Caenorhabditis elegans: one gene and its partners. The protein of the gene in region 4 interacts with the protein of the main gene of each other region in a pairwise test. Each region holds a gene or a part of one and is shown on either strand. Other genes may lie near its edges.

The links.
Region 1: the proteins of sipa-1 (region 4) and Y37D8A.6 interact in a two-hybrid assay, tested with the Caenorhabditis elegans proteins (one large-scale study listed by BioGRID).
Region 2: the proteins of sipa-1 (region 4) and rack-1 interact in a two-hybrid assay, tested with the Caenorhabditis elegans proteins (one large-scale study listed by BioGRID).
Region 3: the proteins of sipa-1 (region 4) and suca-1 interact in a two-hybrid assay, tested with the Caenorhabditis elegans proteins (one large-scale study listed by BioGRID).

What each region holds. Positions count from the first base shown.
Region 1 is NC_003281.10:12,856,084-12,860,238, forward strand, and holds Y37D8A.6 (LITAF domain-containing protein), read right to left. Parts: upstream 1,829-4,155; 5' UTR 1,814-1,828; coding exon 1,685-1,813; intron 1,211-1,684; coding exon 1,115-1,210; intron 1,043-1,114; coding exon 869-1,042; 3' UTR 750-868; downstream 1-749. Other genes in the region: Y37D8A.26 (LITAF domain-containing protein), read right to left, coding at 553-645.
Region 2 is NC_003282.8:10,174,058-10,178,691, reverse strand, and holds rack-1 (Small ribosomal subunit protein RACK1), read right to left. Parts: upstream 2,013-4,634; 5' UTR 1,983-2,012; coding exon 1,868-1,982; intron 1,820-1,867; coding exon 1,636-1,819; intron 1,593-1,635; coding exon 1,445-1,592; intron 1,393-1,444; coding exon 862-1,392; 3' UTR 817-861; downstream 1-816. Other genes in the region: mspn-1 (Mitochondrial sorting homolog), read right to left, coding at 1-149, 204-378, 424-544, 588-722; pxf-1 (Rap guanine nucleotide exchange factor), read left to right, coding at 4,362-4,451, 4,532-4,634.
Region 3 is NC_003284.9:10,896,952-10,902,587, forward strand, and holds suca-1 (Succinate--CoA ligase [ADP-forming] subunit beta, mitochondrial), read right to left. Parts: upstream 3,164-5,636; 5' UTR 3,156-3,163; coding exon 2,872-3,155; intron 2,820-2,871; coding exon 2,729-2,819; intron 2,455-2,728; coding exon 2,230-2,454; intron 2,136-2,229; coding exon 1,920-2,135; intron 1,621-1,919; coding exon 1,293-1,620; intron 1,240-1,292; coding exon 1,076-1,239; 3' UTR 727-1,075; downstream 1-726. UniProt on the Caenorhabditis elegans protein: ATP-specific succinyl-CoA synthetase functions in the citric acid cycle (TCA), coupling the hydrolysis of succinyl-CoA to the synthesis of ATP and thus represents the only step of substrate-level phosphorylation in the TCA.
Region 4 is NC_003283.11:11,630,573-11,639,391, reverse strand, and holds sipa-1 (Rap-GAP domain-containing protein), read left to right. Parts: upstream 1-2,100; 5' UTR 2,101-2,185; coding exon 2,186-2,408; intron 2,409-4,019; coding exon 4,020-4,595; intron 4,596-4,705; coding exon 4,706-4,827; intron 4,828-4,874; coding exon 4,875-5,139; intron 5,140-5,186; coding exon 5,187-5,654; intron 5,655-5,712; coding exon 5,713-5,850; intron 5,851-5,899; coding exon 5,900-6,140; intron 6,141-6,218; coding exon 6,219-6,680; intron 6,681-6,724; coding exon 6,725-6,865; intron 6,866-6,924; coding exon 6,925-7,072; intron 7,073-7,119; coding exon 7,120-7,260; intron 7,261-7,451; coding exon 7,452-7,520; 3' UTR 7,521-7,959; downstream 7,960-8,819.

The DNA of each region.
Region 1 (4,155 bases), on a different chromosome or scaffold from region 4:
TTTCAAAACTGTTTTAAAACTTTGCGCCCAAAACTCGAATTCTACAATATTACGCTTAGGCTTAGACATAGGCTTAGGCTTAAGCTCAGGCTTAGGCTTATGATCAGGCTGAGGCTTAGGCTCATGGTTAAGTTTAGGCCTAGGCTTAGGCTTGGCGTCAGTGGCGAGCGTTAGCTACGCTATTTAGGCTTGGTTGGGCTTAGGCTTAGTCTCAGTCTTAGGCTTAGGCTTAGGCTTAGGTTCAAGCTTAGGCTTAGGCTTAGGCTCATGGTTAAGTTTAGGCCTAGGCTTGGGCTTGTGAAAAAATTTTAGCGCAAAAATCAAATTATAATTTTTGGAAAATTTTTGTGGCGAAGATCAATTTTTGAAACAAGTTTGGCAGTAAATTCTAGTTATGATTTTTCGAAAAAAAAATGTTGGCGCGAAATTAAATTTTTAATTTTCTCAGAAAACCTGACGCAATAAAACCAATTTGAGTTTTTTTTTTTGCAAAATTCTTCCAGAAAATTGAAAAATTTTTTGGAAATTTTTGAAATATAATATTTTACCTACCTGGCAATTTGTGCAAAATTCGAGATATGGCGTTTTATGAACCACATATTTAACTTCTTCTGATTTTGGAGCACAGCTGTTCACATTGAGCATTTGGAAAAATGAAAATTTTGGAGAAGGAAATTGTGAAATTTACGAGCTCCAGAAGCTCAATTTTATGCCTTTTTTGCTGCAGAAACAATAAAAACTAAAAAAAAAACCAAATGAAATTTTCATTGAAAAATTTCAAAAAATAATTGGAGATTTGGTATTTGGATTCAACGGGATTCAATGGGGAAGACAGAATTTACAGATTTCAGAATTTTTTGGGAAAAAATTATCTTCTCTTATAAGAGAGAATAGTTCCACAATTTGGACATGAATGTCTCGAATCTTTGAATCCGTCAAGGCAGAAGCAGCACAGAAGTGGGAAGAACACGAAGAGCCCAAGGAAGAGCATTGTCCATGAGCAGAAGCCCATTGTACGCTCGACTCTGGTGCATACATTTGTCTGAAATTTTTTTGGATTGTTTTGGGGGAATTGGAGTCGAAAAAAATTTTTTTTTAGTTTTTAGGAACTCACATTACAACGAGGACAGAACTCGGTGTACGGCTCGAAGGATGGAGCCATTTTTGTGCCGACGATGATAATTTCCTGCGGTTGTTGAACCACATAGACCTGTAAAAATTCAGAATTCAAGTTTTAAACTTACCCGAATTTCATTGAAAATTTCAGAGATTTTTTTTCGGAATTTTTTTCAACTGTACATAATTATATTTATAGATTTATTTTTTTAAAAGAATTTTTGATTTTTCGGAAAATCGAGAAATCTAATAGTAAATAAAAATTTTCAGAAATAGACAAAAAAATTCAATTTTTATCGAATTTTGTTTATGTTGACACGGGATTCTGCCCTTCCTCATTGAATTTTTTGCGCTCCATTGACAAGCCGGACAACGCGTGGGAAAGTCGTGTACTTTTTTTTTCAAACCTAATTATATTTCGAAAATTGAAAATTTTTCCACCTTGTTCCAGTTTTATGTACCTAGTTAAGGCGCAATTTTTGACTCGAAATAAATTTTGGAAAAATTCCAATTAAAAAAAAATTATAATTCTGAAATTTGGCCATTTCAGCACCATATCTCAACTAACCGGTCCCTGTCCCGGTCCCTGTTGTGGCATTTGTGTTGGTGGATAAATAATTGTTGGTGGCGGCTGCTGTGCTTCAGCGTATGCTGGTGGAGCCTGTGGATATGGTGGAGCTGCGCCCTTGGAGTCCATTGTATATTTGATTGACTGAAAAATTGAAAATGCGGAAAGCTTAAAGTTCAGAGAATATAGCAAAAAAATGGCACATGGGATAAGTTGAAGGGCATGTGAACTTTTACTAGTGACAAATTTTCGATCACCATATGGCGAGTGAGTCAGTGGACAATCTCTGAGGAATTATAGCATAGGAAGAGAAATTTATATCGATAATTGTTTGAAAAAATCTCATGAGCGCAAGCCTAAGTCTAGGCCTAAGCCACAGCCTAAGCCTCAGTCTCAGACCATGCCTGAGAATGAACCTAAGCCTCAGCCTGAACATGGGCCTGATTGTGAGCTTAAGCCTAAGCCTAAGCCTAAGACTAAGCAAAAGCCTAAGCTTGGAATAAACAATTTTCTGAATTTTTTCAAAAGTTGTATTACTATAATTGGTTGATTTAGCACTATAAGAACCGAGAAAAAATTAAGCTACACTAGAAAAAAATTTAAGCTACTCTACCCAAAGCCTAAGCCTAACCCAAACCCTAATACTAAGCCTAAATCTAAGCCTAAGCCTCGGCCTCAGACTATGACTAAACCTAACCCTAGGCCTAAGCCTAAGACCAAGCCTAAGCCTAAGCCTAAAACGAAAGAAATATAAATTTTCCAAAACAAAAGTAAAAAATTAAGCTGTCAACTCCGTCACTTGCAAGCGTCAAACTCAGAAGAAACATCTGGTTAACACAAACTTTTTGATTCTAGAAAAATGTCAGGTTCCAATAATATCAAAATGACAGAGAGAAAGGCACTGACTTTGAGTTGTGAGAACTCAAGTTTTGAAAAACCTTCCGGCGCGTGTCCCCCATGGCAACCGACGTACGCCTTATAATATCTGATATCATACTGGTAACCAGCCAACTGATTAAATTATACATTTCTCTCTCACCTTTTTTTTTTGTTTTTGACAACTTGTCAAAAGCAAAAGTGAGCTTCGGGGAAAATGGGGAAATATTGAAAGGAGGCAGAGAAGCTAGAAAATGTCCTGCCTTCCTTCCTGCCTGCCTAAAAATGCCTACTATAGCTGGACAATATACACAACATTTGAATTCTAAGTTGTCAATTTCGTGCAAAGAATTGATGAAGCTGAAATGAGCGGCTCATTATTCCGGAATTTTTTTTAATTGTGTATATTTTTGAAAAAAAAATTTCCTCTGAATTTTTAGGATATTGGTAACTTCTGCAATCTTTTTAATTAATTAAAGAAATTTTTAAATTTTTTTAAAATTTTTTCAATTTAGCAAAAAATAGAATAAATAAGAAAATTATTTTTGAATTCCCGCGCAAATGAATTACCTAATATTGCAATTTTCCTAGTAAATTACCCCTGCAGTACTTCTACAGTACCCCTACAGTACTCCTACAGTACCAGTATAGACTAGAAAAATGACAAATGACAGATAAACCGTAATGACCATTTTTTTAATAATTTTTTTTGCCAATTTCGCAAAAAAATGGAATAAATGAGATAATTTTTTGAATTCCCGCGCAAATGAATTACCTAAGTTTGACATATTCCAGCTATTTTTGATTAGGATTTATCCGATTTTTCCTTCCGGAAAAAATTTGCTAAAAATCAATGGTTTCACATGAATTTATATATTTTTTTGCAGGGAAACTGCCTGAAAAATTTCAAAACTATTATAGGTAATTCATTTGCGCGGGAATTCAAAAATCAATATATATTTTTTATTTGTGCAAAATTTTTTTAACAGTTATACTCGGTAAATACAGATAGAAAATAGACCGTAATTACCGAATATAGCTGTTAAAAAATTTAAAAAATTAACATTTTTCAATTTTCTGTTAAATTCTGAATTTTAAAAACAATTATACGTTTTTTGATGTACACATAGAAAAGTTTTGTTTGGAAAAATGTTTAAAGTGATAGAAATTACTTCAATTTTCAACTAAAAAAGTTGTTTCGTACACACTCAACACGTCATATTTGTCGCCTACATTGAAGTTGCAATTGTCAAGGTCGATCAAAAAATACAAACAAAAAAGCGCGGTGAAGTTAAAGATCATAGGAAAATATATGTAAAAAAATAAAAAATGTGTTTAAAATTGTTCAAAAGTCCACTGATTTTCGATTGTTTTAGTCCGTTGCCAGGACAACACGGGGAAAGGAAGGGCTTCTCGGAAAAATGGCAAAGCATTGGAAACGTGACTGAACAAGTTTTAATCTTAAAGTCAAACTAGGTAAGTTGTGATTATAGTTGAATTTTAATCAAGTATTAAACTAAATACAAAAAATCATTTATTTTTATAAACCTCTTTGCAAGCAGATCCACGTAAGTTTGTGTGAATCATGAAAACAT
Region 2 (4,634 bases), on a different chromosome or scaffold from region 4:
ATTGTCTGTCTCGGAGGAACGAATCAATTTCATCAATGAAAATAATTGTTGGTTGAAACTTTTGAGCAACAGAGAAAACAGCGGCCGCAAGTTTTTGAGACTCTCCGTACCATTTATCAGTTAGGTTTGACACTTGAAGATTGATAAATCTGAAAGGTAGCAATATTTAAAACAGGTCAATTCTGCATTTATGAATAACTAACCGGCATCCAGCTGCCCTTGCAACTGCTTTCGCTAAAAGAGTTTTTCCACATCCGGGTGGTCCATAAAGAAGAATTCCACGTGGAGGAGACAATAAATGACTTCCACTTTGCGATGCGAATCTCAAGGGTAAAATAATGCGATCCTTTAGTTCAGCAACAAGTTCTTCGCAGCCACCTGTAAAATTTTTCTTTTTTTTTGCGAAACAATTTTCTGTTCTACCGATCTCATCCCAATCTGCTCCAACGTCTTCTCCGCCAACAAACTGCGTGGCGATTCTAATTTCGTGCTCTGAGAGTTCTATTTGACGATCGATACCAAGTTCATGAAACAGCTGTGCCACCTGTATATTAAAAAAACAAAATTAGTGTTGTAAATCTACAAACCTTCTTTTTGCTTTCTTCATTCACACTATAATTTGGATCCAAGTACTTGACTAGATAGCGCACTGATAGAAATGAAACTGCAGCCGCCGCCACTACTCGAATTGCAACACCGATCAACTCATTACGATCCGTCATCTCTAACATAACAAGTATACCTTGCTGTTTTATCATCTGCTAGATATTCTTGATTAACGCGAATAATTTATCTGACATGGTTGAATACAAAATTATATCAACAATTTTATTGAAGGGTTTTGAATTAACAGGTAACAAATTAGTTGGAAGCACGGATCGACACCTGGTACACTCGGATGATGTTATCGGTGTATCCGGCGAAGAGGGTTTGTCCGTCTTGAGACCAGGCCAAAGAGATACACTGTGGGCTGGATCCTCTTGAGCTTCCAGAGCTGGCGATTTCTGGCTTGAGCTCCTCGATCTCCTTCTTGTCCTCGAGATCCCAGATCTTGATGGAAGATCCGACAGCGGCGCAGAGCCAGTATCTGTTTGGAGAGAAGGACATGGCGTTGATGACGTCGTTTCCTGGAAGGGTGTACAAGTGCTTGCCCTCGTTGAGGTCCCAAAGCATAGCTTGTCCGTCTTTGCCTCCGGAAGCACAGAGGGAACCATCTGGAGAGACGGTAACGGTGTTGACGTATCCGGTGTGACCGATGTGGTTGGTCTTCAGACGGCAGTTTCCGAGGTTCCAGACCTTGACAACCTTGTCCCATCCTGCGGAGACGATCACTGGATCGCGGTTCGATGGAGAGAAACGAACGGTGGAAACCCAATCGGTGTGGCAATCATCCTAAACAATAGTTTCGATAAATCTTCCTATAAAAGAATTTGAAAAAACGTACAGTGATGGTGTACTTGCACTGGGCAAGAGTGTTCCACAGCTTGATGGACTTGTCGCGGGATCCAGAGACGATTTGTCTGTTGTCAGCAGAGAAGGCAACAGAGAGAACATCCTTGGTGTGGGAGATGAATTGACGGGTGCTCACTCCCCTATAAAATTGTTTGCACAATGTTTTTTTATTGAATTACTTACTGGTTGAGGTCCCAGAGGCGGAGGGTCTTGTCCCAGGATCCAGAAAGAGCGAATTGTCCGTCGGAGGAGATGACAACGTCAGAGACGAAGTGGTTATGTCCAGTGAGCGAACGAACTGGGCGACCGATTGGTCCCTCATCGACTGGAGCAACGCTGTCGACATCCCAAACAAGGATAGTCTTGTCTGAAAAATGTGAGTATAAATTTGAAAACGTTATATTAATTGACTTACCGCGGGAAGATGACAGGACAGTGGTCTTGTCGTTGCGGGTGTAGGTGGCGATTTGGGTAACCCATCCGGTGTGACCCTCGAGGGTTCCGGTAAGCTTCATTTGCTCTTGGACCATTTTGCTATCTGTGTAACCCCGTTCGATCTGCTAAAAATAAAAATGTTCCATATAAAAAAATGAAAATTTTGGAGAATAGAGCGAACGAAAACCATAATTTTGTTCGAATTATGTTAAAAACATAGCCACTTTAATTATTAAATGTTGAAAATGTTGAAAAAATCATTGCTTTAACAGAAAAATACAGAAAAAAGGAAAAATCGTCCTAAAAATTCGCGTCAAACTAGCCAGCCAGCAGCAGAGGAGAAGGGGTGAGTCGCTGCGAGACCCCACAGCGAAAGTCTATGCGCCTTTAACCTGGCACTTTGCCAACTAACGAATTTACGGAACAAATTAACTTTTTCTTGTAAATTTGCATCTATGAAGCAGTTTTTGACACTTTTTTAAATTTACTTATTTATTTATTCAATTATTTATGTTTAGCTTTTATTGTGACAGTTGTTTTCGAGTTTAGCGAGCCATTTATTTGAGCCTTAAAATTAATATTTCTGAAAACTGGTTTGATTTCTTCGAAAAATTATTATTTTCTCATTTAAAAGCAAAAATACTTTAGTTTTTACATTAAAATCAATGTAATGTGGGTTTAGTTCTAATTATTCTCCATCCATTCAAATTCATCGTGTCGAGCTCGAATTTTAAAGTTTAACATTTCAGCATCCGGGGTTGCATGTGTGCAAGACATATTAAGATTACTGCATGAGATATTGCCAGAAAAATCTGACGAGACTAGTTCTTTGCGCATATCTATTGCTTTTTCGTGGAATTCCTGTCAGCTTAGTCATGCTTTTATGGGTTTCAAATTGACGAAGCGACAAAAATGTTGACTTCTTGTAGAAATTGGCCAATTGTCCGTGAAAACTTTGGTATGTGCTTGAAAATCTTCGAGTTGTTTCCTTATAATGTTTAATACCTTCTCATCTTAAATTTTACGTTGATATGCCAACATCACTATTTTAAAGTTTTTTTTTCATTCAAAAAAGTCATTTTTATTTTGAAGAATTTTTGAATACAATATATTTTCAATAATTCCCCATTTTTTAGCTGACTTTCAATACAACAACAGAACCTTGCAATAGCAATAACATCACAACAATTCCCATAATGAAAAATATTTTTTTGCTCCTAGACATTTTTTCGATATCTGTTTTTTTCCAATGGGAATGTCAACAATCAACTCTTTCCTGAGCCAATCTTCACTCGATTCTCTGTCTTCTCTGCAATCAGTGCAATCTTTAACCCAATCAACCTGCGTCTCAACTTTCCGTTCCTCTCTTATTTCTTCGCAGCACCTTCCGTTGTATTATTGATCGGTTCGCAGTGGTTTGGCGGTGCTTTTCCGCACCGTCCCTCGCCTTTTCCTCCTCCAATTTCTTGCCTCTACACAGACTGTCCGATTTATTTCTTGTCCTCTTCGCCTCTGTGTTGTTCCTAGTCACATTCCTCCAAATGCCCGTCCCTATGTGTGTGTGCGGCCGCCGCATTCACTATCCGCCCGTTTAATCGCCCCCCCCCCCCTCAGACTTTGATTCCCTTCTTCACAACTTTTGCATCCTTTTCTTTCCTGTGTCTAGTGCCCCTGATTGTTTATAATCAACCTCTGATAGTAATAGAGATTAGACGTTGTTATCGGCACACGACGACATCATTATCACTTTGTAATTCAATTGGTGGTAACTGACTGGATGGGACCCTTTTTTCAGTTGTAGATGATCAGAACAATCGAAACTTTCATAAAGACACTAATCGAGGCTAATTTTTGATTAAGAACGGGAGTGGCAGAAGTTATGCCTTCTAGCTGTACATTTTCACTACAAATGTCCTAGTTTTTCTTTTATATGTGACTCCCATTTTAACAATTAACAATTTTCAATTGGTATTGTCATGCGGTACTTCTAGATTGTTGCAAAAATTGTTAAATATCATCATTGTAAGGAGTAATCAGTTAGTTGATAGTGCCTTCGTGATTTTTTAGAAAAATTGTTGTATTCATGTACTTTTCGTCTCTTATATTCTCATATCTTCATTAATAATCTAAAAGTAATCTGCAAATCCTCTAACATCTCTTGGGGATGAATATATACATATTCTTCTACCTCTCTATTCACATAAATAAACACAAAAGAAGCATCCGAGCTCCTCCTTCTCCGCCCCATTCACCCCATTACATGCTGATTTATGAGATTATCTGAACGCTCGTCCTCTTTCGCTTACTCTCTCTTTGCCGTCTTAATCTGAATGGAAGACCACATGGCTTCTGTTCAACGAAAAAATTTACATTTTGTACTTTTTGCCTTACTATGGTTCCCGAAATTTTATTTTTTATATTTTTCCTTCGAAAAAACTAACAATCTAGATATTTTATATTTATAGGAGAATCAGATGGATCCTCGGAAACCTCGACAGGATCCAGTCAATGATGCTCGTTTTTACGAATCCCTCATTAAACCACCGCATTTAAGGACACCAGATGTAAGTTTTTTTCGGATTAAAATGTTTTCAAAACAAATCAATATTCCACTTTAAAATTATGTAATTAATTATTTTTTCAGGATATTCGAAATGTATACGAGCAATTGCGGCAGCTCGACACCTTCAGTAATTTGTTTATAGGTCCATTGAAAGCTCTCTGTAAAACTGCTCGATATGAAAGGC
Region 3 (5,636 bases), on a different chromosome or scaffold from region 4:
CCAAGAAACAAGATGCTAAAGTCTGACTCTTAGCATTAAAGACTGATAGGGCATTTTAAGTGCTTAAAAGGTTTCCTGTAAAATGTCTTTGAAACACACTCAACTAGAACAAACACAAAATATTTGAATGTTATCTTAAAAATTATACATGCCCCTTTACAACTATAGGAAATCAGTACCATACGGCACTTGCGCAAGAATCGACTTCTAGCAGTATATGAGCATTGTATGGTCTCAACCTATCTGTTGCTGTGATTAATTTTCGATTTATAAATTTTTGTGAATACTCTGGTTTCAGTTTTCTAGTAATACATATGAAAACATTAAAAAGCTACAAATAAAATCGTAAATAGTTAAAACTTTTATTTTAAATAAGTGGCATTGTTTAAAAAAATTAAATCTCAAAAACCACCGTCATCCTTTTTATTGTGAGTAAGTTTAACAACTGATCTTGTATTATTGGTTCTTTGTTTCTTTGATATTCATACCGACTTTACAGCTCTATAATTGATGCGGAAGAAAACGAGATAAAACATCAGACTAAGGTGCGGCATAGATCAGAATTGGGCACTAAACTTTTATGATACCTCAACTCGGCGACCAGGCAACCGGATTCCTCTCTTCACATTATCTTAATTTTATTACCACGTGGGAGATGAGACATGATTTCATCATCACACGGTCTCGATGCAGAAATGATCAAAGTTAGTCATCAGTCTATAGAATGTCGGACAAAGGTTTATTGGACAAAATGAGAAGACTGATTGTGTGAGCTACAAAGAAAGCAATGAAGAGAAGAACGTTCATAAGAGAACAATAAAATAAAAACGGGGAACGAAGTAAAAAAAAAACTAATAGCGTACTCGTTAAAAACATTAAAATCTACCAAACACTTTTAAGAAAGAAAGCAAAAAAACTGCTTTGCAATGACTAGGAATAATTGAAAATTCCAGTGACATTATTTACGTGAGAGATTGGATAGGTAAATGTTACAGTAAAATGGAAAATGAAATTGTAATTGAAAGTAACATTTTCATACCGGAGAAAATTAAATTCAAAGTAAATGTGTACTTTTTTAGATGGAAAGCTCGAATTTGACATCGACGTTGGTGGCACGAGCGAGATCAACAATGTTGGAAAGCTTGACAACCATCTTGGCGGCTTCGTCGAGGTTATCGCATGGAAGAATTCTGAGTTGGGAGGTGGCAATCAAAGCCTTGGCGTCTTCAACCTTTGTTCCTAAATAAATAAAAATTATGTTTAAAAAAATAATTTGAGCAGTTTCCACAAACCTTGCAATCTGACAACAATTGGGATCTTGAGGTCCAACTCTCTGGCAGCTTGAATAATTCCCTGAGCAATGACATCGCATCTCATGATTCCTCCAAAGATGTTCACCAAAATGGCTGAGACCTTGTCCTTGTCAGCGGTGATGATCTTGAAAGCTTCAGTGACTTGTTCAACGGTGGCACCACCTCCAACGTCGAGGAAGTTGGCTGGTTCTCCTCCGTGCAACTTGATAATGTCCATGGTGGCCATGGCGAGTCCAGCTCCGTTGACCATGCATCCGATGGTTCCATCAAGACGAATGTAGTTGAGGTTGGCAGCGGCGGCGCGGATCTAAACGATGGTTCATAAAAACTACGTTTGTACAAGTTTCAAATGTTTAACGACAAGTTTACATGTATAAAAGTTTCCAGCAATATTTGGTTACTGGCGTTAAAAAAATTAGCTTCAGATCTGCTCTTCAATATTTGAATAGCTGAATTTCACTTGCTAAGTTCAATTTGGCAATGAGTGTTTTTAATGTTATCCGAAAAGGGAAAATATGCACTATTGCTTTTATCTGCGCAATTCCTAAGGGAATTCCGTTTTCTCCGCCAGCCATTCAATTCAATTGAATACGACTCTTATTTTACCTCGAGCTCGTCCTCTTGCTTCTTATCCTTAAGATCGAAAAGCTTGGCTTGACGGAATTCTGCATTGGAGTCAAGAAGGAGCTTGCAGTCCATGCAGTAGACATCTCCGTTCACATCCTCGGCCATTGGGTTGATTTCGACAAGAGTAGCGTCGGATCCCTTGAACATCTGGTAGAGCTTCTCAATGATTTCAGAAGCTTGTTGTTCACAGTCCTTCTGAAAATTTAAAGTATTTTTGAATATAACCTGGGGCATATTTATATTTAGGTTTGCACTACGTGTTCATATAATCCAACGTTGAATAACGTACCGAGAATCCCATCTTAACGGCGATCTCGTGAGCAAGCTCTTTAGTGATTCCGACGTTGACATCAATTGGCATCTTCACGATGGCATCTGGATTGGTGGCGGCAACTTCTTCAATGTTAACTCCTCCTTGGGAAGAAGCAATAACAATTGGTCCATTGGTATTTCTGTCAAGAGTTATGGAGAAGTAGTATTCACGGCGGGTGAACAGGCGTTTGCAAACCATCACCTAAAACATTCATTTATATTTTTATCGGTTTAACTAAAAATGAATATATTAAATGTGATTTATCTTTTGTACGGCAGTGAAGTTTTTTTTTCAATTCCTATTCATCTAATTTTTAGATATGGCTCATCTGCATTTTTTAGATTTTTTGCACAGTGTGTACGAATTCATCAAAACTTGTTTGTCTCGAAAAACAGCTGAGCTACAAGAATTAACTTGTATCGAATTGTGTAGCGTCTCACGACATTATCACTCAGCTTGAATTTTTTAGCTGTACCTCTTCACACTTCTTTCCACGATGATCCGTTTGTTTGGTGATCAGGTTAGCTCCAATCATCATTCCAGCCTTTTGTTTCACCTCATCTGGGCTGAAATTAACATATTTGACAATTTAAACATTTGAATGGAATGGCTACTTACGTGAAGACAATTTGTACTCCTCCCTGAAGTCCGGACGAGAACCTTCCTTTTCCACGTCCTCCAGCAAGAACTTGAGCCTTGACGACGTAATCCTTTCCACCGATTCTTTTAGCCTCACTGAAAGCGGTTTCGGCATCCTGAGCAACTCCGAATGGTGGCACCTTGATCTCATAATTCTGCAGAATCTTCATTCCGTGATGCTCATGGAGCATAAGTGTTCTGGCGGCCGGCGCCATGAATTTCTGTGAGGTGTTGAGGAGCGGCTGACTGATTCTTCCAATCATTTTTTTTCCTGAAAAATATAATGATTTCTCTGAAACTGGCGAATAACCTAAAAGTAGAAAATTAATAGAAAAGAATGAAAACTGAATAGGGATGGAAATAGGATAAAAGTGAAGACAACAACACAAACAGTTGTGTGCACACACGGGACGCTACGACACATTGCGGACTTTGCCCTCTCCTTTGCACAAGAGGCTACGCGCATTCAATGCAAGAATGAGAGGGTGGCAATGAGGTGATACCTAGACAGAAAATATCTACTACATCTGAGAAAAGGTATATGAAATGATTTAAAACCGTCGAAAACCAAAAATTGAACAAAAAGCTTTAAAATATGTCTAGAAACGGTAGAGGCAGAAAGATGGACATACGCTGTCTCTCAAAGATCGTCGGCCAGCAACGTGGTTGTGGTTGGGCAAAAAGTGGAGAATAGATTGTTCGCAGAAAAGATAAGGTACAAAGTATCGGAGGAGGTGAAGACAGGAAAAGTGCAAACAGAAAGGGAACTGATAATAAATAAATGGCGGATTCGATCAGAGGCTACTTGTAAGGTTTTCCTAAAAAAACAAAGATAGGAATTCAAATTTCAGACTGCCGAGGGATCAGGAATATCAAAGATTTTGTTTTATATTCGTATTTTCAAATGCATGATCAGTTGGAATAAATGTTAATTTAAACAAAAAACTGGAACAGCGTACTAGCCAAAAACATTAATTTCAAATTGGGAAACCCACGAGATTTCACATAAAAAAAGGAATTCGGCCTCTTAAAATAACTACTCCCATAATCACATATAAAATAAACTAAAGTAATATTGATAACAATTGGATGCAATCAAGCTCCGTGCATCCATGTCACATCAAAACAAGAGGGGCCAACGAGAGGAAAAAAGGTTGAGTTGGATGAAATTATCAGTAGGGGTAAACGAGGAAACAAGAAGGTTTTCTCTTCTTCTCTATGTTTCCCCGGGACATAGAGACAGACAACGATGGATCAATGGAATTGTCAGAGGGAAAGACGAGAGAGAGAGGACCCATCTGCGTGTAGTGTGCAGCGTTGTTGTGTCCTTCTTGCATGCCGTTCCAACGTGAGACACACAACTCTATTTCCCTTTTTTCTTTGACTCTCTTCCCGCCAAACAGATAGGATGTTGAGTATGAAGAAGAAAATGAGCGTAGAGTTGGAAAACCAAAAGGCATTTTTTCGCTCTGGGTGAGAAAAAATGAGAGAGAATAGACAGAGTCTTGCATTGGATAAGTGGGTGGATAGAAAGACGTCATATTTCTTCGTTTGATTCAATTGGGTATTTACTGATCTTTGAAAAAGTATTACTGTCTGGCAATGTACATGTATAGATTAAAGTCTCTTAAAGTTTACATGTTTTCTTGAAATGTAATGGATCAAAAATACACCACTCTTCAATTTCAGCCAGAGCAGGCACCAAAATCATCTCTACATCTACAAAGGTGACAACGTGGAACGTAACGTGGAAACGAAAACAAAAATGAAAACGTCGAAAACATGAAAACGTATAAATGAATACAAAGTTTTATTACTGAACTCAGCAGAACAGTTTTTTATTTTTATTTTAGAACGACATTATACAACCACAGTAAAAACAGTGACTATAATAATTATTCTATAAAGAAAATTAACTTTGTTGAAAATTCTAAAATCTTATAAATACGGTTGATCAGTTACCATGTGTTTGTTACTATTTGTCAGACAGGTAAATTTTTTGAAAAACATAGCCACCAAAATAAAAACACGCAACAAAGTCTCACGTGGTCATTAAGCACCAAATTTGAAACTAGTCGCAGTAACATGGAAGGTTATCTTTCCAGTAAAACGTCATGCCACTAATGTTTGCTGCAGCTACGCAACTTGAATTCCATGTTCTTATCAGATAACACGTTGTATAGTCAAAAATCTAATGTGATGTCTGTATCATTGTGTTTGTCATGATCTTTTTGTATATTTTAAAAACCTATTTTCAACTTTTAATGTGATTTTTGTAATTCTTGAAAAAAGACGACCGTCAAGCATTATGAGGGACAAAAATTCATCTACGAAACATTTACTAAAAATTTAACGTTTAAAAAATTATTTATACTCCAAACTAGGTATTTTCCTTGTTTATCCGAGAAAAAAACTAATAAGTACGTAATCCAAATAAGCATTTGGCAAAATTGAAGATTTAATTAAACTGTCTGAAACGAGTAACTTATCGGAAACAGTCGTAAATTTCAAAAAACATTCAATTCTTTTAAACTGGGTGTCTTCATAAAGTTTGCAAAATATACGAACAACAGAGAAAATAAGGCAACAATCGGTGAATTCATAAAATAAATATATTATACTTTTTTTTGAAGTTTATGGTAAACTTTGATTATTTTCTATTATTATTTTCGATTGTTTCCCACTTTTTGTTATGCTCTGAATATTACAAGAAAAGTGAAATACATTTTGGTACGTGTGTATTT
Region 4 (8,819 bases):
TTTATTTTAATACAATGCTCAAAATAGCAGGTGCTCAAAATAGCCAAATTTCAAAAAAAAAAAGATTTTCAAAAAAAAAAAGAAAGAAAGGTGGCAGGTGTTGTATCTTTCCGGTGCAGAACGAAAATGCTTTCTTTTTTTTTTCCCCGCTCATTTATGTTCTTCTACTGCTTTCTGTCTTTTCTGTTGCTCATTTCAATTAAGCCGAGCCGCCTCTGGATTGAGTGTGCGAAGAAGAGCACATGGCTCCCCGCTTATCAATCTTGCCTATTCTAATCCAATTTTATTTTCTTTATTCCTTTTCTTTTCGACTCTCGTATACATCTACACATTCTACACATCCTCTTTTTTTGTGTTGCTTCCTATTATTATTCGTATCATTATATAGAGCTTTCAGACGTCTTATTCTATTCTTTTCTGGAAAATTGTGTGTGTGTGCCAAAAAAAGAAGAAGGGTCGAGTCTTCTTTCTCTCTTCTTCTTCTAGTATTTCTGCTGTGCCACAGGGTATCGATGTTTACAAAGTAAATGACACACACACACACACACACACACACACACACACACACACACACACACACACACACACACACACACACACATACACATTTTGAAGAGCCCTCTCTTTTTTCCCTCATCTCACTTTCACTTTCCACTCCTTTTCTCCCAGTTTACTTGTCTGCGTCCAGCCACTTTTATCCACTATTTTGCACCTCTCACACGCATAAAAAGTTCAGTTTCAATGTCTTTTTTCCAGTTTCCTACTCTCTTTTTCCGGGGGCACCCCAATATCCTTTCCTCTTTATGTTCCTTCTATCACATCTCTCTACACTGTTTATTAACAAATAGGTGTGAGGGAAAGAAAGAAAAAGAAGAGAAGGAGGAGGAACATGATGATTTCAAACAAAGTTCACATTCATTAAAAAATCAAACATTCATTTTCATTTTTGATACGATCTTTCGATACTGTGTTCTTGAATTTCCCTTCACAAAGTTTGGTAATTTGATTTATTTTAGACACCTACATTATTTGGTAAAGTGGTCGTGGAAGGCACTGTACTCTATTGCTTGAGTCCTAGGCTCCGCCCATATATTGGCCTGTTGAAATTTACAATAAAATTTCAACTTACTGAATCATTTTTTTCTGATTTCCCAACAAAGTTGTTCGCAATTAAAAAAGCCTAAAAATTCCGAAAAATTGCAAATTAAAAACAAATTTGCATGTTTTTGAAGCAATGCACTTTCAGACTGAACATTCAAATATTTGCATAGATTTCACTTGTACATTTCAATTACCAAATATTAGAAAATGTGTTAGTTGATTTTTCTTCTTAAATGATATAACTTGAGAAATACAGTTTTCCGAAATTTCACAAAATCCCGAAAATCCCAAAAAATAGTGAAAATCTCATATTAGATGTCGGAAAATTTTTTCGGGAGGTCTTTAAAAATGTTTATCGAATAAAGTAAAATTTATTTGTACAGTGAACCCAGTAAACGTACTATTTAAATTTATTTTAAATTCTGATGAATGGGATTTCCAACAGATTATTTTTCTGACAATCTTTTTGACAATTTATCTTCAATTCATTCCAAAATTGTGAACTACATACATAGATTTTTGTATCTGGAAGTTGTCCTCCTATTAAAAAGTTTTCTTACAATAACATACCCCGTGCATTACAATTAGTATTGTTTTTCATTAGACATAAATTTTCCCATAGGTATTTCTGAAACTTCTCTTGCCAAATAAAACAGTGCTGAATTTCGTATAGTGATACTTAAAACAACTTCCTTAATTCCCATTAGATATCTTGAAGTTGTTTTTCTTAACTACTTATTATATTGTCTGAAGGAAAAAATTCACGGGCGTCGGAAAACAATGATTTTATCAAAATATTTTCCGTCTATCATTATTATTATTATTATCGGAAAAATTCTTGATTGACTCATTTTTCTTGTCTTTTGCCAGTGTCTTGCAATTCTCAGCATGCTGTATAGAAACATTTAAAAATTTTCTCTCTTGCCATATGTTGATGATTTTTATAACTTATGAATATTTTCATTTGACTTTTTAATCGAAATTTTTCTTTTTTTTTCCAGAGTCTTCGCTCCCTCACTCTTGGCCCCTTGAGCGTTCGTCTCCCCCACAACTCCATCGTTAAATCATAAAATGCGAATGTCCGATGTCGTCGACGACATCGTCGGTGAGATCAGCTAATCGGACACGTTCGCTGTGCCACCATCTACATCATCAACCGCTGCTCGTCTCTGGTTCGTCCACTGGCTCACCACCGATCGGCGGTTCGATGGATGAAGGATCTTCTGCGTCGACTTCTTCGTCGGCGACTGCTCGAGCGCTCGACATGTTCAATCGGCGAGGTTCAGTGCTTGCTGTCGTCATTGCAGGTTTTGTTGTGCTCTTCTTTGCTCACCTCTTGTTATCCCCTGCTTCCAAATTTGATATAATTAATTGGAAAGTGATTTTTACCTGATGGTGTACCCCAACTTTAAAATTCAAAAAAGAAAATAAAGTTTGGGTTTTCTTACCTACTCGCCAGAGTGTCATAACAAATCCATAATAAGTAAATAAGGCGAGGAAGCTCTTTCGTTTGTCCTAATGAATCACCAGAGATCTTGAATAATCACTGTCTGTTATCAGTCACTTTCCAAATTATTTATATCTTATTTGAATCATCAGCTAACCCTCTCTCTCCTCTTTCTCTCCATTTCACATCACATCCGGCCCATTCCCAATGGAAAAGTACTCGTGCTTAATTCCGACTCATTCCCAATTAGCAGTCGGTAACCGTAGGTAACGTGTAGGCGTTGTATACATGTCGAAAACTATCGCATCATTATTATTATTCAATCCCATTTTTCGCTCCTAAAACTTCTTTTTTCGAAGATAAATTAGGTGATTTACGTGAAAGAGAACGGAGATTTCGCGGCGACTGAACACTCCTGCAAGAATATTCCCCATTTATTATTCTAACAGTTTTATTTTGTCCTATGCACATTTTCTTGCAAATCACTTTACTAACTTTTTTTGCACTCGATTCTGCATAATGGGAGACGGTAGTTCCGTCTCCAAGATCTGTAATTATTTAAAACGAGTGAGCAAGTCTCCACGAGGTGATGATTTGATTTGATAGTAGTCGGAAAGTGTGTTGGTAAATGCTTATTTACTTAGAGATTACTCTGAAAATCAGAAGCTCTACCTAGCGATTAAGTAAATAACTATTTGCCGTTGGTGTGCTGTGATTTTGAGTGATTCTGATAAAAATACAAGAGATAGAAGGTGACGTAGTGTTTGATAAGAATCGAAATTCTAAAAAGGCTCCTTACCTGAAAAAAAATATATATATATATAACTGGTCGGTCGTACTGTCCTGAAACATATTTAGCTTAAAAGTAAATCCAGAATTTTTTTTTTAGAAAATTCCATTCTAAGATTGTGCAATATCCCAAAAAAAAATCGTTTTTCGACTTTTCCAAAATGAAAACAAAATTGAATCATAAACTTTTTTCAAAAATAATTTGGAAACAAGTTATAATACAGAATGTTTAGTGACACTCTACACAAGCTTTTATGATGCCTTAAGATACAAAAAATTCACTTTGAAATTTTTCGGTAAATGTCTTTGACTTTGCGGACAATTCAAATTTCTCATATTTTCACATCGGTTCAAACTAGAAAGTCTGCGTTGTCAAACCCAACGTAATTATGTATGTATTTTGAAATAGTCTATAGTTGTAGAAGGTAAACATGTAGAATTGATCTTTCACATTTACTGTTATCACTAATTAAAAATATAATTTTTAGTATAAAAGTTGATCAAAGCTCAATGTTCAATAGCTTGTTTTTTGAAGAAAAACAAGACGATCGGTCAAATTATCGAATTCTCATTTGAGATTTGACTAGTTCAAGTTTTTGTTCTTATCCAACACGAAATCATCGACTGTTATCCTATAATCATTGATCGCTTCTTTGCAAGAAAAACCCAAAAATGTTTATAGGAAATACGGCCGCCGATGTTCTTCCACCAAGCGCAGGAGTCCCAAATACTTCAGCAGTTTCCTCTTCCAGTGGAGTTATCAGTGCGGATCAACCATCATCCACGAATTCAGACAATGATACAGAAACATTTAATGAATGGCGACCACCGTTTCCCCGACTATCAGCATATCAAGATTGTCTATCTCTTGCCGCTGCATGGGGACTTGGTATGCATCCAAATGGTCTTGATGACAAACCAACTGGAGCATCACAAGCACAATCACCAAGTGAAGATGATTCGGGTGATGGGAAATTTAATGAATTGCTTGCCAGTTGTCCAGCATTTAGGAATGAATTGGGCTGGGAACCAACGCGGCGTTTTGCGCTCTCACGACACACATTCGATATGGCTCACACGGATGCGCACGAATGTGAGACGTGGATGCGAGAACATTCAGCATCGGAAGCTGGCATTTTGGAAGACGTCTCCAATGTATATCTCGGAGGAAGATTGTGTGCTGCTAGGCAGCCGAAGACAGTTATTGAACCACAAGACATCGGGTCGTATTACTATCGGCACTGTTTTATCTCAAAAAGTTAGTTGTATACCACGAGGATTTTTTTGAACATTTGAGATGTTATAAACTTTTAAACTAGAAAGACATAATTGATTTGATAGTTGATTCATATTTAAAATGTATTTCAGATCACATCGAATATCTTGGAATGGATGACATCCTTGGCCCCATCAGTATCTCAATGGTACGAGAAATTGTTGATCGGAAGGAATCGTACTCGATTTACAGAATGATTGTTCGAATTTCAGATGTAATTAAATTTTTGCAATTTCTAGCTCAACAATGTTTACATTACAGCAAAAAACAATTCGTGTAGCTGTTCCAGAGGAAGCACTCTCAACTCCAGAAGGATCAGATCGAGCAACTCGTCCTCTAATGCGAGAACTTCTTGAAATTGTGTGCCCGAAAATAAGCTTTGGAATTTTGAGACCATCAATTCAGTCACCGAGAGTTGAAGAGCTCATTATGAAGATTGATGAGCAACCAATTTATACTCGATATAAAGTTGGAATAATGTTGTGTAAAAACGAACAGAGTACCGAAGAACAAATGTATAATAATGGTAAGGAAAATTATTTTTTGAATAATATCGAATCTTGAAATATTCAGAGTTTTCTACACCATCATTCGACGAGTTCCTTGATTTCCTTGGTCAACGGGTTACACTTAAAGGATTTGAAGCTTACAAAGGAGGCCTAGATACACGTGGCGACACTACTGGAACTCATTCAATCTACTCCGAGTATCAAGCTCATGAGATCATGTTCCACGTTTCAACACTACTTCCGTTCACTCCGAGTAACAGGCAACAACTCTCCCGAAAAAGGCACATTGGAAATGATATGGTCACAATCGTATTCCAAGAACCTGGAGCGTTGCCATTCTCACCAATAACTGTGCGTAGTCATTTCCAACATGTGTTCATTATTGTTCGGGTTCACAACGAGTGCTCTGAAAATGTGACATACAGCGTGGCAGTCAGCAGATCAAAAGATGTTCCAGCATTTGGACCGCCCGTTCCAAAAGGAGCATGCTTCAGCAAGTGCGCGGAGTTTCATGATTGGTTATTAACAAAAAGTATGTTTGAAGAATTGTTTAACTTCTAGTTGTTTAATTTAAATTTAATTGATTTTAGTTATCAACGCGGAGAATGCTGTGCATCGGTCAAAAAAGTTTGCTACAATGGCTGCAAGAACTAGACGTGAAGCTCTACGCGACCTAGTCGAAAACTATGTTGGACCTCATCAAAATGAAGGCGCCAGCAAAATAGCCAGTAGGTTACTTACACAGAGGATTTAAAATTGGACAAACCCGATTTTCAGGTCGATTCCTAGGAGGAAGTGTGAAACGAAAAGAACGTCACAATCCAAAGCCAACAAATCACGTGATGCGAGGAGCACTCTCGTGGCTTGTTGATGTACATGATTACTCAACTAATCAGAGAATTAGCTGTGTACTTGGGGTTGCTCAAGATTGGATTGTACTTCTCGAAAGGCCATCTGGCACTGTATTGTTTTCGACTCCAACTCATTCAATTATAGGATGGGCAACCAGTGACACTGGGTAAGAAGACTTCTTTAATATTTTTTCGCAAATTCAGTTAAAAATAAAATCATTGTTTATTTATTGAACATTTTTCAGACTGAAACTCTATTATGATCATGGAGACCAACTGCTTCTTCGTTGCTACTCTGAAACTTGTACCGACTCAGAGCTCAACGAGTTGATCCGTCGTCTTGAAAATGTCACAAAAGGCGATGAAGCAAAGGAAGTTGTGCTTCGAAGGTTAAAGACAACAGATAATTGGGGATTCCATGTTCAAGATGAAGGAGTTGTTACTGATGTTGAAATGTATCAATTGGCTTGGAAAGCAGGAATTCGCCAAGGAAGTCGTATTGTTGAAATGGATTCAATGCCAATCAGTACTTTATCATTTGATAAGATTTGCGATCAGTTGGCTGTTTCTGAATGTGTTCGTTTGCTTATGATTTCTCCATCATCGGATGGAAGCCCCCGTCGTGGATGTGAAGATCCAAATTGTCCAGCTGTAAAGGGAATCGAACAGATGCTGACTCCAGATGCATTCGCCAAGCAGCCAATTACGTGAGTTTTTAGGCGCGTTACAAGGTTTTCATCGCGTGTGGCAGCAGGTACCACGAGATGTTCCGTCAGAAGAAGCTCGAGTACCCGACGAATAGCGCGAGCAGCAGTCCGGCATCATCTTTCGACGAACGCACTTTCAGTTTCACAGCCACCAAAAAGACCATTGAACAGCGAGCCAACAATATGTGAGCCTTGATCTACTATCCACTTTAATGTAAGAACCTATTACTAAACAATGAAATAGATTCAGATCAAACAATCGTCCGAACACGTTGTCGAGTGCTAGCGTCCATGACAACATGTGCACGTTACTGAATCCTCCAAAATATCTCAACAGAGCTCAGTCTGATGAACAACTTCGATCTCCGCTTATGGACGAGCTTAATCGAAAAGTTAGTTTCAGAACTTTAGGAATTTGGAGGAAACAGTTGACTTTTAGGCACCACTCTCCGCACGCGAATCTACAAATGAGAGAGAATCGAGTGAACTTGTTAGAATTCAAACTCATTTGGAACGTACTGTTCAGGAAAAGCGGGCACTTGAAATGCTCGCACAACAACTTAAAAAGCAACTTATTCAGGTTTGCGATTTTGCTATACCGTTTATTATTATATCATCTGGCTATATCTGAATTTCATCCAATTTGGGAGTATAGGAAATATTTGAATGCCTACAAGACAACATCTGAACCGATTTTCATGCGATTTTCATTTTTCTATAGACTTCTCCAATAATTTAAGAATTTCTGGTAGAAATCGGTTTTAATTCCAGGAGCGCCAGTCGCATGACAACACAAAACGAGAAATGGAACGCCTGAAAAAGATGTACGAGAAAAAGTAATTTCAATTTAATTTCTAACCTTTTTTGTGATAGTTGGTTGTGAGCTAGTTCATTTTTCTAATATAAATTCTGTCATTCTTTCCATTATTTCTTTCCCTTTTTCCTCTGATCTCGTCTTGACCTTTTTTGTCATTATCATGTATCATTCTTATTGTGATCAACTGTTTCTCTTCATCCCAGTTCTAGTTAAAGTGTGTTCTTGAGCCTCCCCCTGCCCATGAGCTCCAGTGCCAACCCTTTCTTCATTCACTCATTTATCAAAAATTATTTCTTTTTATTTTCAAATTTAACTGTAAAAAATGTGTTTTCCCAACTCTTCAAAATGTTCATTACCCAATTAATCAGCCAGTTTTTTTTTTCCGATTTCCATCCGATATGTGTTAAGATTTGATACATCTTGTCATTTTTGTACTGTATCAGTGAACTTTTCATTTTTTGAATATTCCCTTGTACTGCAACACGCCCAAAAAGCATTAGATGTGAAATTGGAACTTCACGACGAAGACCGAAAGTATTTCGCAACCCATTTTCTGTGTTTACATCTTATAAACCGAATTAGATGAGCTAATTGGTTGAATAATTTAGACCGGGCACAAAAGTACGGGATGAGCATGAAGATGGGAACCGACCCGCTTTTCGGCTTTCCGGGAAATGACGCCAGTTTCAAGGAAGTGTGTGGAGTCAGCTTAGAGTGTGAGAGGCCTCAGATCTTATTTCGACGCGTATAGGTGATCAAAAATTGTGTTTCGCGTTTACGAAATGAAGAGTTAGTATTCGTAATGTACTTTCTCAAGAATCTTATCCTCGCAGAAGTTCAGAAGTTCCCGTATTACTTCATTTATTCCAATGGATTTACTTTGCGCGCTAATTACTTCCTGATCATTAAAACAAAATGAGAGTTCAAAGAAAAATTTAGTAGTTAAATGAAATTTAGGAGGCTACAAAATAAATGAAACATTAATGACGTCGAATAATTTCTGGAACTTAAAATCGGCACGCTATACCAAAACTATAGAAGAAAACCGAATTTTCAGAAATGTTGATTTTTTAAATACAAAAATACATATTTTCGGTAATTTGAATACAATTCCGAATTTTGAGCGATTTTGAGTTTTGAAAAATAAAATTCCGCTTTTTCACATATTTTAATTTTTGGAGATGAAGATGAATTATTTTGCATAAGAAAAACACCATTTCCAGCCAGACGTGTTTGACAAAATTCTAAGTTGAAAATTTAAAAATTAACAGGGTTTTACAATGGCTAGAAATTATGGTTAGAATTGAAGATTGAGTCTGTTA